Pelodiscus sinensis: one gene and its partner. The protein of the gene in region 2 binds, or shares a complex with, the protein of the main gene of each other region. Links are inferred from orthologs where the notes say so. Each region holds a gene or a part of one and is shown on either strand. Other genes may lie near its edges.

The links. The genes of interacting proteins can lie anywhere in the genome.
Region 1: the proteins of BMP2 (region 2) and RGMA are in contact, whole or in part, in a crystal structure (PDB 4UHY), measured with the Homo sapiens proteins. The link is inferred for Pelodiscus sinensis from reciprocal best matches to the Homo sapiens genes BMP2 and RGMA. Residues at the interface, in NP_001191.1 of Homo sapiens: Val308, Gly309, Trp310, Asp312, Trp313, Met371, Tyr373, Leu374, Asp375, Glu376, Lys383, Tyr385, Met388; in NP_064596.2 of Homo sapiens: Arg91, Arg94, Gly95, Leu97, His100, Ser101, His104.

Annotation. Positions count from the first base shown.
Region 1 is NC_134724.1:12,368,237-12,375,831, reverse strand, and holds the start of RGMA (repulsive guidance molecule A), read right to left. Parts: upstream 3,008-7,595; 5' UTR 2,769-3,007; coding exon 2,755-2,768; intron 1-2,754.
Region 2 is NC_134713.1:192,410,177-192,418,003, forward strand, and holds the start of BMP2 (bone morphogenetic protein 2), read right to left. Parts: upstream 3,020-7,827; 5' UTR 2,352-3,019; intron 1,619-2,351; 5' UTR 1,612-1,618; coding exon 1,281-1,611; intron 1-1,280. UniProt on the Homo sapiens protein: Growth factor of the TGF-beta superfamily that plays essential roles in many developmental processes, including cardiogenesis, neurogenesis, and osteogenesis. Induces cartilage and bone formation.

The DNA.
Region 1 (7,595 bases), on a different chromosome or scaffold from region 2:
CAAATCAATTAAGCTTTTTCAAAACCTCATGAGGAGAGTAAAGATATTTTGGTAGGGACAGCTACATGATATGATCATGTAGAACAACTTGTACCAGTATAATGGGCTGTCAGTTCCTAATGCAGTAGTGATCAAGCTAGACAGGGAGGAGGAATGTGTGAAAAAATCCTTCATTCCCACCCACAAAAGAAAGCAAATGAGCCTGGATACTCTCAATAGAATAAAGCTTATCATGTCAACATGTTTGACAGGTTGTTTGCAGTGTAGTTATAGCTGTGTTGGTCTCCCTGTTTTAGAGAGACAAGGTGGGCGAGATATATCTTTTATTGGACTAACTTCTGTTGGTGAAAGAGATGAGCTTTGAAGTTTACAAGTCCTGTGTAAATTCAGCAGTTTGTCTCTTTCACCGAGTTGGTCCAATCAAATGTTACCTTACCCCTTTATTTGACAGGGGACATTCAACTCCCTTCCCCCCAATTTGTTTGCACAATATTGTGGGGCTAGGCTTGAATCTCACATATTGCATAATATAATCTTTCCTTGTTCTGAAGTGTTTAAAAAGTTGGCTGGAATTCTTCTGTATATTTAGTTCTCTGCAGGGAGCTGGGCCTTTATGCCCATCTTCTACTCTGAGTAAATCCCAGACAACATTCCTATTGCATCTACTTCACAACTGAGCAAACCTTTAATAAACAATTGAGCGAATAGCTGGTCATGTCTAGAAGAACGTTTCACGACTGTTGGTGAAACGTGTGGGCTGAGTAGCAAATCTGGTTAACTTCTGACTGCCAGAAAATAAATAGACCCAATTTTCAATCCCTTTTGATTTTCTGTCACAACGGAGAGAATCAATTTAGTATAACTGGGCAATATTCTAAAATCTACTTTTGTCTCTAGATATTGCAAATATATTTTTCTAACCCTCCTCTCCACATCCAAACAGGATGTCTAAGTTTATCTCCTAGATGTGTCATTAAAAGGTAACAGGACTTTCTGTGGAACAGCTGGATGGAAATAAGTATTTGGAAGGCTAGATCACCAATATACTGTGGCTGGCAAACACAGGAGTTTAAGAGTGTCCCAGAGCAAGGAGGAGCCTGCAGGAGATCCTCTTTAAAGTGTCCTCTGATTTCTCATGGAAACAGCGTACCCTCCCCACTTGGTTCTTTTAGTGTGGATTCCTGAAGATGATGCCTAGAAATATGACCCACCCCACCATGCCATCTCTACTTTCTTAGGAAAGGGCCAAGGACAGTCTAGTAAATGTCACTAGGTATTTTTTTAAATGGCCTGGATACCTTCAGGGAAGATAAATCATTACAAAAAACGAGTCTAGTAAAAATCCCAATTAACCTATCCTTCTGAATTTCCCATACCCGTTATACTCCCCATCCTAACAGAGAATGAAATTGGATTGAGACTGTATTTTTCTAGCAGGGATCAGCACATGTGCGCTCTCCCAGGGTTAAATAGAGCCCGAAGCTCGTTTCTTTCCAGTAGGTGGCGCTGTTATCCCTAAACAGTTTGCCAAAATAGCCAATTTATAAAATAAATGCAATCCAGCGCTGCCTTAAGCCACATGACATAGCATCAGCCTGCACGCTCCCATTAAAATCTCAATTTGGGGAAATTGATTCTACCTCTGAGCAATTGCAACACAATTACTCCAACAGGCAGCAATCAAGAATCACATCAAAACAACACCACACTGCCTCAGAACCACCACCACAACAAAAAGCACCTGTCTTGCAAACGCACCATGATTTCCTTGAAGACCTATGACAACATGCGAATCCCAGAATGAAAACAACACTTAAAGAGGCTGTTTTGCAACCTCATTGGCGGTTCTAAAATGTCCTAACTCAAGGCCATATTCTGCCATCCTGACATTGATCAATGCCTTTTTGCCCACTGAAATCAAGTGGGCCTTTTTATCCAGTAAGGCATTACTTACCAGGAGGAAAGGGAGCAGAATCTAGCCCTCTGAGATGACTACAATGGTTGCTTTAGCCCACATAGCTATCCATCTCTCTCTCGGTACTTACTTGGTTCTCATCCCCACAGTATCTGCCTAGCCTGGGCATCTGTCAAACACTGGCCAGCTCTTGAAACATGCTGTATTTTTAAAGCATTATAGTCGGGGATAGGAACACGGCTATGCATATTGATCCTTCTCTGGTTTGCAGTAACGATGACCTGGTTGCAAGCTAAGCACCGGGAAGGAGGGGGGGGGCATTCCAAAATGTTTCAGGGTTTCTTTAATCAATGTTTTGCAATTAAATTCACTTTTTCGTTTAGCTCGGAAGAAGTTGGCACAAGGACGCTTCATGTCTGATGGCAACCCGGAGAAAAAAAAATGGGAGGGAGGGGGGAGGAGGGAGACTCGTATCTAGCTATCTACATCCATAGAGCATGCAAGGAAGAAGAAGCAAAGAGCCCAGAGCCAGCCTTTTAAAAACGGGTTGAGAAACTAGACGGAGGACCCCAAGGGAAGGCCACTGATTCTCAACAGGTCCCAAGGCAGGCAGAGCACCTGGCTAGGAAGCAAATCAAAAAGCAATTAGGGAAGGGGGGGGGGGAGCATGCCGGAAACAGAGTCCAGGGTGCAACCCCAAGAGCTGCAAGCAGGTTAGGAAGCAAGCAACGGTTCAACGCAGGGTGACCCTGGGTTGCAGGGAACAGACCCCGGGGGTTGATGCCTTGTTCCCCCCCCCCACCCCTTTTCCCCCAACCTCCCCGGGCTCCGGGGCTTACCTTATCGACTGCATGAGCCTCTCCAGCCCGCGGGGGGGGGTGTCAGTGGGAGGGAGGGGCAGACGGACGCTCCCAGGCCCGGGAGGGGGGAGAGGGTGGGATTATCCGCAAAAGGGCAACCCCCCCTCCCTTCCCAAAGCGCCCCCGGTAGGGTGAAGAGCTCGCCCCTCTCTTCAGCAGCGGGACAGGGCGGGCAGCATCTCCCCCTGCAGCGGCATGTCTGCGCGAGGCTGGCGGAGCCGGGGCAGGGTGAGAAAGGGAAGTGGCTTCCCAAGCAGCTCACTCAGCCGGGGAGATAAAGCGAAGCAGATAGACAGGCAGGCACGGCCCCCCCCCTCCCTTCCCGTCGCGGCGAGGGCTCCATGTGCTGGTGTGAGGAGGTTAGTTAGCATGCGGAAGGGGGGGAGTGTGTGGAAAGCAGGCGGCTCGGTGCGCGGCGAGGAGGAGGAGGGGGGGAGAGGAGAGGCTGGGCGCCCCAGCAGAAGCGGGGCTGTATCTGGGGGCAGCAGAAGAGCCAGCAGCCCCCATGGGCAGGGAGCGAGGGTGCAGGCGAGCGGAACGGGGACAGTGAGCGCACAAGACCCTGCCCTCCCAGGGTTCATTCCTGGCGGGTTTAGACTTGGCCGCTTTCCAGTCCTGCCCTGCAAGAGTTAGGACTGTCCACCTGCAGCTGAACCGTCTGACAGGGGGGGGGAAAGAGATTTGGAAATGGCTATTTCCAGGGCGTGGGGGAATTCGAATCAGATAACATACACACAGGCTATGTCTAGACTGCAGGCTTCTTTCGAAAGAGCCTCTTTCAAAAGATCGCGTCTAGACTGCCGGCGGATCTTTCGAAAGAGAAATCCGCTTTTTCGAAAGAGAGCACCCAGCGAGTCTGGATGCTCTCTTTCGAAGACGGCCTCTTTACATTGAAGAACGCCTTCTTTCGAAAGAGGGACTTTCGAAAGAAGGCGTTCTTCCTCGTAAATTGAGGTTTACCGCCATCGAAAGAAAAGCCGCGTTCTTTCGAAATAATTTCGAAAGAACGCGGCTTGAGTCTGGACGCAGGGGAAGTTTTTTCGGGAAAAGGCTACTTTTCCCGAAAAAACCCCTGAGTCTGGACACGGCCACAGTGTGTGCGCGCACATGCACACCACCTAGTTGCAATCCGTCTACATGGACTTCTCTTAACACACACAGAGCGGGAGGGAGCACAGAAAGGACTGTCTAGCGCTGCTAATGTATGCATGCATTGTAGATAAGGTATTGGGTAAAGCAAATCAACCCCAACATGCTGGGGCAAGTGGATTTTCTCTTTTCACCTTTCCCTAGCTGGGAAAAGAGAAGAGAGCAGTACAAAATGAAGGAGTGCAGCCAGGAGAGAAAGGGGAAACGGCTTCCCAGTGCATTGTGCTGGAGGATAGAATCATAAAAATGACATAGCAAGGCAGATCTGTTATGTCCCAGGAGTGGGGAATAAATAAGAGGAGAGAATCCATTGAAAGGTGTAAGGAAAATTGGGATTAAATAGTTTGTGAGCTGCTGCTGTCAGTTTTATCAGGCAGGAGAGGGATGCCTGTGTCCTAACTCAAACTGCACATATTGTACATGTCACACAACTCATTAGGCAACCAAAGCTGTCCCCTATGGAGTTAGAATTTTGCCATTGATTTCAATGGGAACAGTGTGATGAAGAAATTACACACAACAGGAACACCCAGATGTTTAGGAACCTGTTCTAGTCCTGACCTGGATCCCTCATTTGATGTTGGAACATGTAGAAATCAAAGTTATGATACTATGGAGAGGCTGGCCCACCAAATTCAGAACCAAAGAGGGACTTTGGGCATGCTTGGAATAAGCCTACACGGAACTATTTCCCTAGATATCATTACCGCCTTTACTTTTTTTTTTAAATAGAAAGTAAATGAATGCAAAGCTCTGTGGGCCAGACAGGCAATTAATTACTGCAGTCCCAGAGCTGTGAACATGCTAAATATGCAGTTGCCTTTGCAAATGTGCAGATAGTAACAGATGTTTGCAAAAAAAAACCCCAAAAAACCACAACAACAAAAAACCCCTCCCCCCCCAAAAAGCCAAAACAAAAGCTTAAAAATCTTTTAAAACAGATCTTTGCACAGTATTTTTCAGTGTGGAAGGCAACAAATGCTAATGGCAGCTATCAACTGCTTGATTAAGTCTTCAAAAAAAAAAAAAAAAAAGTGCCCGGATTTAACAATGTGAGCCAGCATGTATTAAATGCAAATTAGAAAACAAGCATGTATTAACAGTAACAAATTCACCAAAGAAGTGGGTTGTGTCCAGGAAAGCTCATGATACCATCTATATATTTTATTAGTCTCTAAGGTGCCACTCATTTTTCAAAGTTACAGACTAACACAGCTACCCCTCTAGACTTAGTAACAAATAAAAACATCCTGGCAGTAAAGCTGCAGTAGAGCAAAGATGTCTTCTTTTTTAAAGCATGAATCTCTCAAGCAGACACTGTTGAACCAGAACGAGTTTAATCTTGGGTCAGGTGTGAAAGAACTAGGGACAGTTTGATGCCTAGTATAAAACTTGTAGCATCCCTCTAATAATAACTAATCATTTTATCGTGTCCCGATGCCCCTCCAACAGGGACTCTTGCTGTGCTAGGCACTGTAGAGACACACAGCGAAACACAGAGCCTGCCCTGAAGACATTACAGTCTTGTTTAAGACAAGACACAACAAGTGAGTGTAACAAGTAGAAAAGGTGTGGAGTGGAAATGAGAACATGCATTTCCATAAGCCAGCTGTGCACATGGCAGGGTGGGTTCCAGTCAGATCATTTAAAACCATTACAAAGGTACATGTAAATACATAACTAAGGCAACCATCAGAAGTCCTGATTGACCCCTATCTACAATTAACTTTAGGCATCACCAGAGGAGTTGACACCTTCTGCTTCAAGTGGGAAGTGCATTTCTTTGACCTTGTCTTCTCTAACATAAATAGAGAGGAAGATATATATGTAAATTAAAAACATCTCAACATAGCAAAACAAGTCATTTCCCTGCACATTCATCTCTTCTTGGGGAGAGGATGAGAAAACAAACCACATGTGACAATGGCCTCTCTTAATTTTTTCCATCCATGTGTGGAATAACTTTTACTATGTGCACCAAGGTATGTGTGGATGTGCACCAGCAGTAGAAATGCATGCTGGCTGTGGATACCGTGGGTGCTCTCCTAATCTTTGGGTGGCACCTGAATCGCTCTTGGGTGTCTGCCCACGCACTCAGCTTACAGGGAACACCAGTGACAGATATGTAGTCACACTGCTGAATGCGCTACTGCAGATGTGGCCAGTCCGAGCCTGAGAAGGTGCCACCATTTACCAATGTACATCGCCAAAGAGCTACAGTCATTTGTCAGCAGTCTCCATCAGGTGCCTTCTCTCCCGTCTTCAGTATCTTTTGCTCACCAACAGCCCCACCAATCAGTGCTTCCTCTTCCTTCCCCGCGCCTCCTGCCTACTGCAATCAGCTGTTTCATGGCTCTCAGGAGGCTCTGTGGGGAAGGGAAGGAGCGAGGGTGCAATATGCTTGGAGGAGGAGGTGGAGCCAGGAGTTGAGCACTGGAAAGTTGGCACCAGCTGCTGCAGCCCCAGAGTCAGTGCCTGAGCAAGGAGCCGCATATGAACTTCAGAAAAGCCACAGGTTGGCCACCCCTGCGCTACTGGAAGAGGCTCAGATTGATAAGTGCAGTATAAGGACTGACATAGCATAGGCTAGAATCACAGTCCAAGTCTTCTGTAAGGTCCTTTGCTTAGTGGACTTGGGTCTTCCTGTCTCTGAATCATGCTTCCTCCCCACTACTCCCAAACACATCTGCAGGGATCAACACAGGTCTGTTGTAGCTGGTAGTTTGTGGTGTGAGAATCTCTGGGTATGTCTACACAGCAGGGCAAAAGTTGAATTAAGCTACGCAACTTCAGTTACGTCAATTGTGTAACTGAAGTTAAAATAGCTTACTTCGGCTTTAGGTGCTGTCTACACTGCAGGAAGTTGAAGGAAAACCACTCTTACTTCAACTTCCCTTACGCCTCGTGAAATGCAGGTTGCAGGAGTCGGAGTAAGAAGTCCTCCAGCTTGAAGTTATTTTGAAATAATGGTTTGCTGTGTAGATGCACACTTTGTTATTTCCAAACAATGTCAGTTATTCTGAAATAACACTGCCGTGTAGACGTACCCTCAGAGAGCAGATGTTTTCATTAGGAAGGGCCTCTGCTGAAGAATTCAGGATCCATACCTTGGTCTTTTCTATAGTGCCTATCATTGAAATACCTAAGTGCGGACGAGCTTGAGTCTTGCTATTTCGAGGGCACCGTCCAAGATTCATGTCTTTGCACTGATGACAGTGACTGTCAAACAGTTCAGCAGCCACTTTCTCTTGGAAACCCGTCACCGGGTAGGACCCTGTGGAGGAAGTGACATAAGTTAATGGAAGGATGGAGCGTCTGATCCATTGCATTATATACAGGCAGTCCCCGGGTTACATGGATCCGACTTACATCGGATCCCTACTTACAAACGGGGTGAGGCAAACCCGCACTAGCTGCTTACCCCCAGCAGACCAGGGAGACGCGAAGCTAGCGCCCCCCCTCCAGCAGACCAGGGAGACATGGAGTGGCTTTTCTCAGCAGACACCTCAGCTTGAGAATAAAGGACTGAGGGAAGTGAGGTGTGGGAGAATAAAACTGAGCTCTGGAGAAATGTTTGGCTAGAGTTTCCCCTACAATATGTACCAGTTCCGACTTACATACAAATTCAACTTAAGAACAAACCTACAGTCCCTATCTTGTACGTAACCCAG
Region 2 (7,827 bases):
ACTTTTATTTGTGACAAGCAGATGAGCAACATGAAAACTACTCGCTCTACAAGTCTATTGTATCAGATTAGCTACCCCAGTTAGTAGCTGCAAATTTAAGTTAGTCCCTAGACATATAACTGCTAAACCAATTAACTGCAAAAATAAATTTAAAAAAAAATCATGTCCAGAAGGTCAAGATCATCATTTCTGTATGCATTTACCAAGCACGAAAAAGGCAGCAAAATGTGTCAGTTACCAAAACTAGTTACATTTTAACTGATATGTAGGGTTCCAGCTTTATAGTACTGATGTAGTTCATTAGATTCAAACTCACAGAACGTGGAAAGCTCACAACAAATGGATTTATGTGCACACTTAAAACTAGAATATGATGGGTACTAAAAGTTTGAACAACTCAATAGCTTTACTTTACGCCACAGACACGCCAGCTCTTGTGAGTACCCATTTTAATCTACTTTTAAAGTGCATTCAGCATCTTAATTAAGAGGTGACCATGTTATCTGAAGGCTCAGGTGCGCATGAAGTCCAATGACCAGCTGTGGCAATGCTTTTATCAACCTGGTTTTTGAAGGCTTACCTTTAGATCTACACTAAATCTGCCCTAGATTCAAATCCAAGACAAGAAAGTCATTGTGCAAACAATACTACTGATTGTTGCATTGATCTCTCCCAGGGATTAGAAACCTTCCCAAAACTAACCCAGACCAACTGTAAACTAAGGAGACTTTTCTGGTATTTAGCTTTTATCTTTGAAAGCCCTGGGTGGGAATGCTTAATTGGAACCCAAGCTGTAAAAATCAAGAGGGGCAAATGCCACATGGGATGAAGAAGGTGAGGAGGAGAGAGAAAGGGAGGAGATGCTCAGAATAAATGCCTGGGGACATTCGAGGGGGGGGGGGGGGGGAGGGAGCCTGTTTTGATGCCCAGCTTGTAAAACAAGACAGAGAAACTCACAAGAGAAATGAAACAGAAGTTTCCAAACTATTTGGAAAGATTTCCCCCTCCCCGCTTCTATCCTTCCTCCCCCTTTTGGGTCCAGTGCTGATGGTACACACCCGCACCCTGCTCGCCCCCACACTAGTTCATACACCCACTACTCCACAACAACGGAGCCCACGCTTAGGCTCCCTAGGAAGCGACGCCAGCTCTCACACACTCCCCCCGTGCCCACCTATCCTCCGACCCCTCCTGGGGAAGCGGACCCCGCCGGGAGAGCTCCCCAAGAGCCGCGGGCGCAGCCTGCAGGGGGCAGCGCAGAGCCAGCCCCCCGGCCGTACCTTCGTGGTGGAAGCTGCGGACCGTGTTGGCGCGGCTGGCGGCTCTCTCCAGCGGGGAGCCCAGGGCGGCCTGGCCCGCGTGCAGGCGGTAGAGGTCCAGCATGTAGGGCGGGATGACGGCGCTCTTGCTGGGGCTCGGCCGCCGCTTCAGCCCGAACATGTTGAGCAGGCGCAGCTCGAACTCGCTCAGCAGGTCCTCCGAGGGCGGCGGGGCGGCGCGGCCCGAGTCGCTGAAGCGCCGCCGGCCCACCTCCGGGATGAGGCCGGCCGAGCCGCCCAGCAGCACCTGGTAGAGCAGCAGCGCCAGCAAGGAGCGGGTGGCGGCCACCATGGTCAACCTGCGCAGACAGGGAGGGTGGGAAATCAGGGCAAGCCCGTCCCGGGGGCCCGATCCCGAGCGGGGGGGGGGCCCGATCCGGCTCCCCCCCCCCCCCCCGAGGGAGGCTAGGGGGCGTGGAACCTCATCTGGCAGCGAGCCGCTGTACCCCGTGCTCTGTTGCACCTGGAGCCGCTTCCCCCCGTAGTGACTCCGGATTGCACGCCTGATCCAAAGCCCCCTTGCACAGAAGAGCCTAGCCCGCAGCGGACCATAGCGTGGCCAGAGATACGGCCGCTTGTCAGCGGCCAGGAGCCGGGCTGGCCAGCTCCATGGCCAGGTAGGAGCCGAGTGCCATGCCCAGCTGTCCAGGTGTTGGCTGGCTTCAGGGGGTGTCTGGCAGAGGTGCTGGGGCAGTTTTTGCTGGGGGCGGTTGAACCCACCTGGACAGCCCGTCTAGAATGGCAGCCACTCCAAGCCAGGGTGCCGCAGTACCCCTCTGCACCCCTACTTCCAGCACCTAGGGTGGTTGGGGGGGTGCAAGACAAAGGAGGTGGGGGCTCCCAGGACGGCCAGCACCGCACCTCTAGAAAGAGGTTCCCCGCGCTCCCCGGGCGGATCCCGTGGCGCGTTCACACGCAGAACAGGTTCCATGCGCGCGGCGTTCGAAGCGGAGTGGAGGAAGCCGCCCGTGTGAACGGCGCGTGGGGAGGGGAGGCGCGGGACAGGTGCGCCCGGCCGCCCTGCGCTCTTACCTTTAGGAGCCCGCCGAGCGCCTAAGCAGCGCGCTGGGGGCCGGCCATGGACGCGGGCTCCACATAGAAGTGGGCAGAGCCAGGGGGTGCCCAGCCGGGCGGGGGCTTGTATCCGGTGCGTGCGGGGCTCGGGAAGTTACTTCTCCGGGCGAGGCTCAGTAGCGAGAGGGCAAGTCCCTCGGCTGCGCGGATCCCGGGCTGCGCTCTAGCCCCGCCGCCGCAGCCCATGGCTTCTCCGGGGACTCATGCCGCGCGGACCCGGCCGGCCGCGACCCGCCGGGGCTCGGTGCCTTGCAGGGGGGGCTCGCTGGGCGGCGCCTGGCTGCGGCATCCCTCCCGGGCTGTCACTCCGCCGCGGCTCCCCGGACGGCGGCGGCCGCCCGCCGCGGAGACATCCCTGGGGGGAGAGGCCTCGCCACGCCGCGCGGGGGCGCGCGCTCTATGCCGCTCCGTGGAAAAAACACGCCCCGAGCATCCGCAGCCAGGCTAGTCCCGCAGCGCCCGGGCTCTTCCTTCCCTGCGGCCCCGGCAGCAGCAGGCGCTTTGCAACGGGGGAGGAGGGGGGGGGGCTGCCTTCTCCGGCCGCTGCGTCCTCCCGCGGGGTGCCCGGCCCGCGCGCTTCTGGTGCCACTTGCTCGAGGTCCTTGGAAGCCTCCTTGGCTTTTTGTGGCGCTGCTGATGTCACGGCCCCGGGGGCTGGAGGCGCCTGGCCAATCAGCGAGCGCGCCGCCGGGAGAGCGGCCGCGAGCCGCGCTCGCTGCTTTTAAAGGCGACGCCGCCGCCGCGGAGGAGTGTGTGCGCGGCTCCTGCTTCCCCCCTCGCCTCGCTTGATGGCCGAACCTCTGGGAGGAAGCAGGGACAGCAGCGCCACTCGCATCTCCCTCCACGTGCCTTCCCTCCGAGGCAGAAGGTTGACTGTGTCCCAGGCAACTCCCATCACCTGCGACGATCCAGGAGCCGGGTAGTGAATTTGGCCAGGGGGGGTGTCCCCAGTTCCCACACTGGAAAAGAATGATCCATGGTTTCCCCCTCCACCTGCTTCTCCTCCCATCGACATGTCCCCCTGTCGCGGTCTCCTATCGCCTCTCCTGGGGCCGTGCCAGGCTGGACGGGAGCTAGTCAGGCCCATGGGCGACATGCAATGTGCAGCGTGGTTTTTGCAAATCAGGAGCCAACGAGGGGAAGCTCCAGGAGCAGTTGGAGCAGGCTGGCAGCCGGTAGCTGTTAGTGTTAGCTTCACGTGTAATAAGAAAATCTAGTCCCGAGGATTGTTGTGGTTCTTCCGAGGCGTAAGAGCTAGAGCCCTGTTGGGACTTTTGTCGTCTCGCCGTCCTTAGACAATACGAGACCTGGGATCAAACCAGGCATGGGCTAAAACTGTGGACTTAGGAACTTTTTAGCTGGAGTCTGCGCCTACACGTGGAAACGCAGAGGAAAGTCAGAGATGGATACTGAACAATGACCCCTCAGTAAAAGAAGAGTGAAATAAGTCTCGTGCGCTGCTTATACAAATCGGATTAGTTTCGTGCTGTGGGATTTCAGTGTTTGCTGACTTCTAAGGTGTGAAGGTCAAAGCAGGTTTTGGAAGAATTGGAGTGTTTTCAAATAATCTAGGCCAGTAGAAAAAAAAGTTTTAAAAATCCCCACACACCTGATTTTCAGCAGAGGCACACAAAGCATTTGCAATTAATGACATCAACATTACACCCAGGTCCTGGGTGTAAATAGTTTTAGGCCCATTGCAGCTGATATGGATCAAAGACTTATACAAAGCAACAGAATGGTTAATCTAAACCTGCAGTGTCTAAGTGTACTCTGTCTAACGTTAGGACGGTCAACGCAATATAATAGCCCTGGGCAAATCTAGAGCAAACCTCAACTATTGTTTGAATTTTGCACAGATCACAAAAAACTCATTTCTCTCTTTTAAAAACAAACAAACAAACAAAAACCTGTTTCGATTCCAGTGGGTGTGTTTAGTTCTTGGAGAGGAAAACTAAATGCTGTTATCACGCCACCAAGAAAAACTAGGTTGAGTACCCATCTGCACCCCAGAAATGAAGGAGCTTAATATCTCTTGCTTGTGGTATCTCTCAGCCACACAACCTTTCATATTCAAAAGATCTCAGAGGCATGACTTTACAATCAAGAATATATGGGTTCTTTTAAGCTCATATATGGTTCTATCAAGTTCATTGTGGCTCTTTTTTGCAGGGGGAGCATCCCCAGAAATCTGTTCTTTCTCCCAAAAGCACCTTGACTATTTTATTCCTTCAAAGGACACTGTGTGAAAGGCCACTTTTATGACACTGCGTCTTTAGGCATGAGCAGAGATTTGGGACGCAGGGTGACATAACCCCCTCTTTGTTAAACTCCAGCATCCAGTTTGATAAGCAGTGGCAGAAGGGATGTGAAGCTCCCTGCTATAACATTTGCCACTCACACCTTCCATGTCACAGCCCAAAAGTAGCATGGGGAGCTGGAAATCATCATGGGCTGCCCCAATTGAAAGAAACGTGTCAGATTCCTGAGAAAATGCCTTTTATCCTTGGGGAAGCATCATTTTAAATGCATTTGACTTTCTAGGTTCAGCCCCCTCCTCCTTGGGAGTTCAGCGCTGCTTTGCTGAGTCCCTGGATGTTTTTAAGATATGGCTGCCCTCCAGTGGTGGAAATGTGTCAGAGCTCTCTGGATGTGCAAATCCCCATTTGAAACCCCTTTTTGGGGCTGGCTTTACCATTGAATTCTCTTCTGTGTCCCACTCAGCAGAAGCAGGGCACCAGTCTGTAGGCTTAGCAGCTTACCTGCCCATCTTCGCGACCGGCACCAGTCCATGCTATCGCAGGTGTTGGAGTGTGACAGTGTCAAAGCCTTCGATGTGGCAGTTGGCAGCCTCAGCTCCTCCAGGTTGCCGAAGCTTTTCTTCGGAGATGAGTTTAGAGCATGAGAGGGATGAAGGAGCAGGCTCTGATGCCAAGGTGGATGGATTCAGGAAGGGTGATGTGTCTCGGATGAACAGAAAGAAGATGGTTAACTCACTGGCTTCAGTTTCCGTATCTGCCCCAAACTCCTCGTGTGACAGTGGGCTAGAATTTAGGCTCCTATCTTCTGGGCCTTAATCCCTCTGCATCACGGGTCCCTGTGGAATAGGGATATTAAAACTTTCTTTCCCTCATTCTTTGTCCTTCTTGCAGTCCCTTTTTTTATATATATACAGTGCCTTGCACCATAGGGCCCTGGTCAGAGTTGATGCCTGTAGACACTAATGCAATAGAAACGATGACACAAAGAATCAATTGTCCAGATCCTAGCACAGATTCTCACTTGAACGGCCTGGAATCCCTGGTCACTTTCCTTCCTCAGAGCACCACACTGGGGTGCAAGGCCTTTTCAAAGGGCTGATGGTACTGACAGAGTAAAGCAACATGTGGAGAATTTAAAGCAACAGGAGACAGTTCCCTGGTCATTTCCACCATTTTGATTGGCTCTTTTTGCAGTTTAGTAGAAAAGTTGCATCTCTATAATCTAAGGTGATCATTTCAATGACGTCGCACTGGTGCAATTCCCCACGGAGACACCCTTACCCTGGCAAAAGAATGACCTATTTTGTTTTAGTTTTGTTGCTTTGGAAAGGCTTTAAGCCAAATCTGAGATGTGGGTGTGGGGAGGAGCTGTGGTGCTGGACCTATTTTTAAGGTGGGGGTGCTAAGCTGCACCCCCCACACACACACACCTGTTCACACCTCTCACTTTTCCAGCCTGAGGTCACACCGAGGATTGCCAACTCTCACGGACAGCCTGGGTGCTATTACCACAAATGGTGTCCAGTGTATCCGGTCCAGGAGAGTTGGCAACCTAGCCACAGCTAAAGGTGGCTGCGGAGCCCTGGGTTGGGAGTGGGATGCTGAGCAGCAGCAGATTTTCTGGGGCCAGTGGCCTGGACCACAGAAATGGCAAGCTGCAGAACCCACGGGGATGCCAGGTGGGAGGGACCCTGGGGGTGGCAGAACCGGCAGTGGGTGGGAAGCAGGGCCGGCCCCTGGGCATGGAGAAGCCAGGTGCAAAACCCTGCACCTATGGAGAAGAGTGATAGCCCAAGCTGAAATTCAAGCCTTAGAAAGGGTGATAGCTTAGGAACTCCCAGATCAGGTTCAATTTTATGACTTCCTGGAGCTCGTTAGCCTGAATTTAAGGTGCAAGCAGTGTGACGTCAGGGCACTCCAGTTGTGTAAATCAGCACTAAACTAACAATGGCAATAGAGTTTACACATCACTGACATTAAATGAGCACTTTGGTGGCTAATTGCCCTTCCAGTTCATTCTGCAGTGGACCACACCAGGGAAAAGCCATTTCTTGCCTTAATATTTCATCTCTATGCCTGGAGCATGGGTTGTACTGGATGCTACCTATGGTGACTATAGTAGGATGAGGAACCGTCTGAGGGAGAAATGCGTCTACATTTCTTCCAAAGGCCTGGATAAATTCTGATCTGATTTAACATCAAGAGGTTTGCTGCCATTCTGATTGTAAATATAAATAGGCCCACGGATCCTTCTGATGTTAAGGCCATAAAAGCCTTGGATATTTTGGAGTAAATGAAGAGAGGTTTCCCCTTCCATCCTTTGCCTCTTTTATGTTCAGAATGGAAAGCCCAGATCCTGAAGAATAGTGATAGAAATGTAGCCGTGTTAGTCTGGTGTAGCTGAAACAAAATACAGGACTATGTAGCACTTTAAAGACTAACAAGATGGTTAGACATTTACCTCCTCCCCTCCCCTGCCCCATTCCTCTTCTGTTCTGAAATGTGATTTGTCCTTTTCATATGTGTTCATTTTTTTTAATTGTATCCTTTGGTATATATGGTTGTGACAATTTGCTTCCACTATTTGATCTGAGGAAGTGGGTCTGGCCCACGAAAGCTCATCACCTTATAAACCATCTTGTTAGTCTTTAAAGTGCTACATCGTCCTGTATTTTGTTTCAGATCCTGAAGGGACTTTGGAGCAGGGACTCTCTCTTGCTAGTTGTTTGTTCTGTGGAAGGGGAAGTTCCTTATTACCCCCCCCCAATTGCTCCCACATGAAATCTAGCCCTGACTACTTAGTCCCCCTTATGCCATCACATGACTTCTACATCGGAGTGGGAATCGGAAATCAATGGGACTTTCACACTTGCCTAAAATTAGGCCCGTGCTTACGAGTTTCCTTGAGCAGGGATGGATCACTGCATGGGAGCCCCAGGAACCAGGAAAGGAAAAGATGAGGGGCCCAGCGGAAGTTGCAATCAATACAACGGCAGGCCCAGCCAAAGAGTTCACGGGACCCAAGGCAGCAGGCTGTGTTTGGCTGAGCTGCACGGCTGCGCAGCTCCTAGTCAGGGCAGCCAGTGAGCGTCTTGGTGGGCAGGGCCGGGAGCTGGTCAGCACAGGGCCCTGAATGCGCGGGGACTCTGAATGTGCAGGGCCCAAGGCAACTG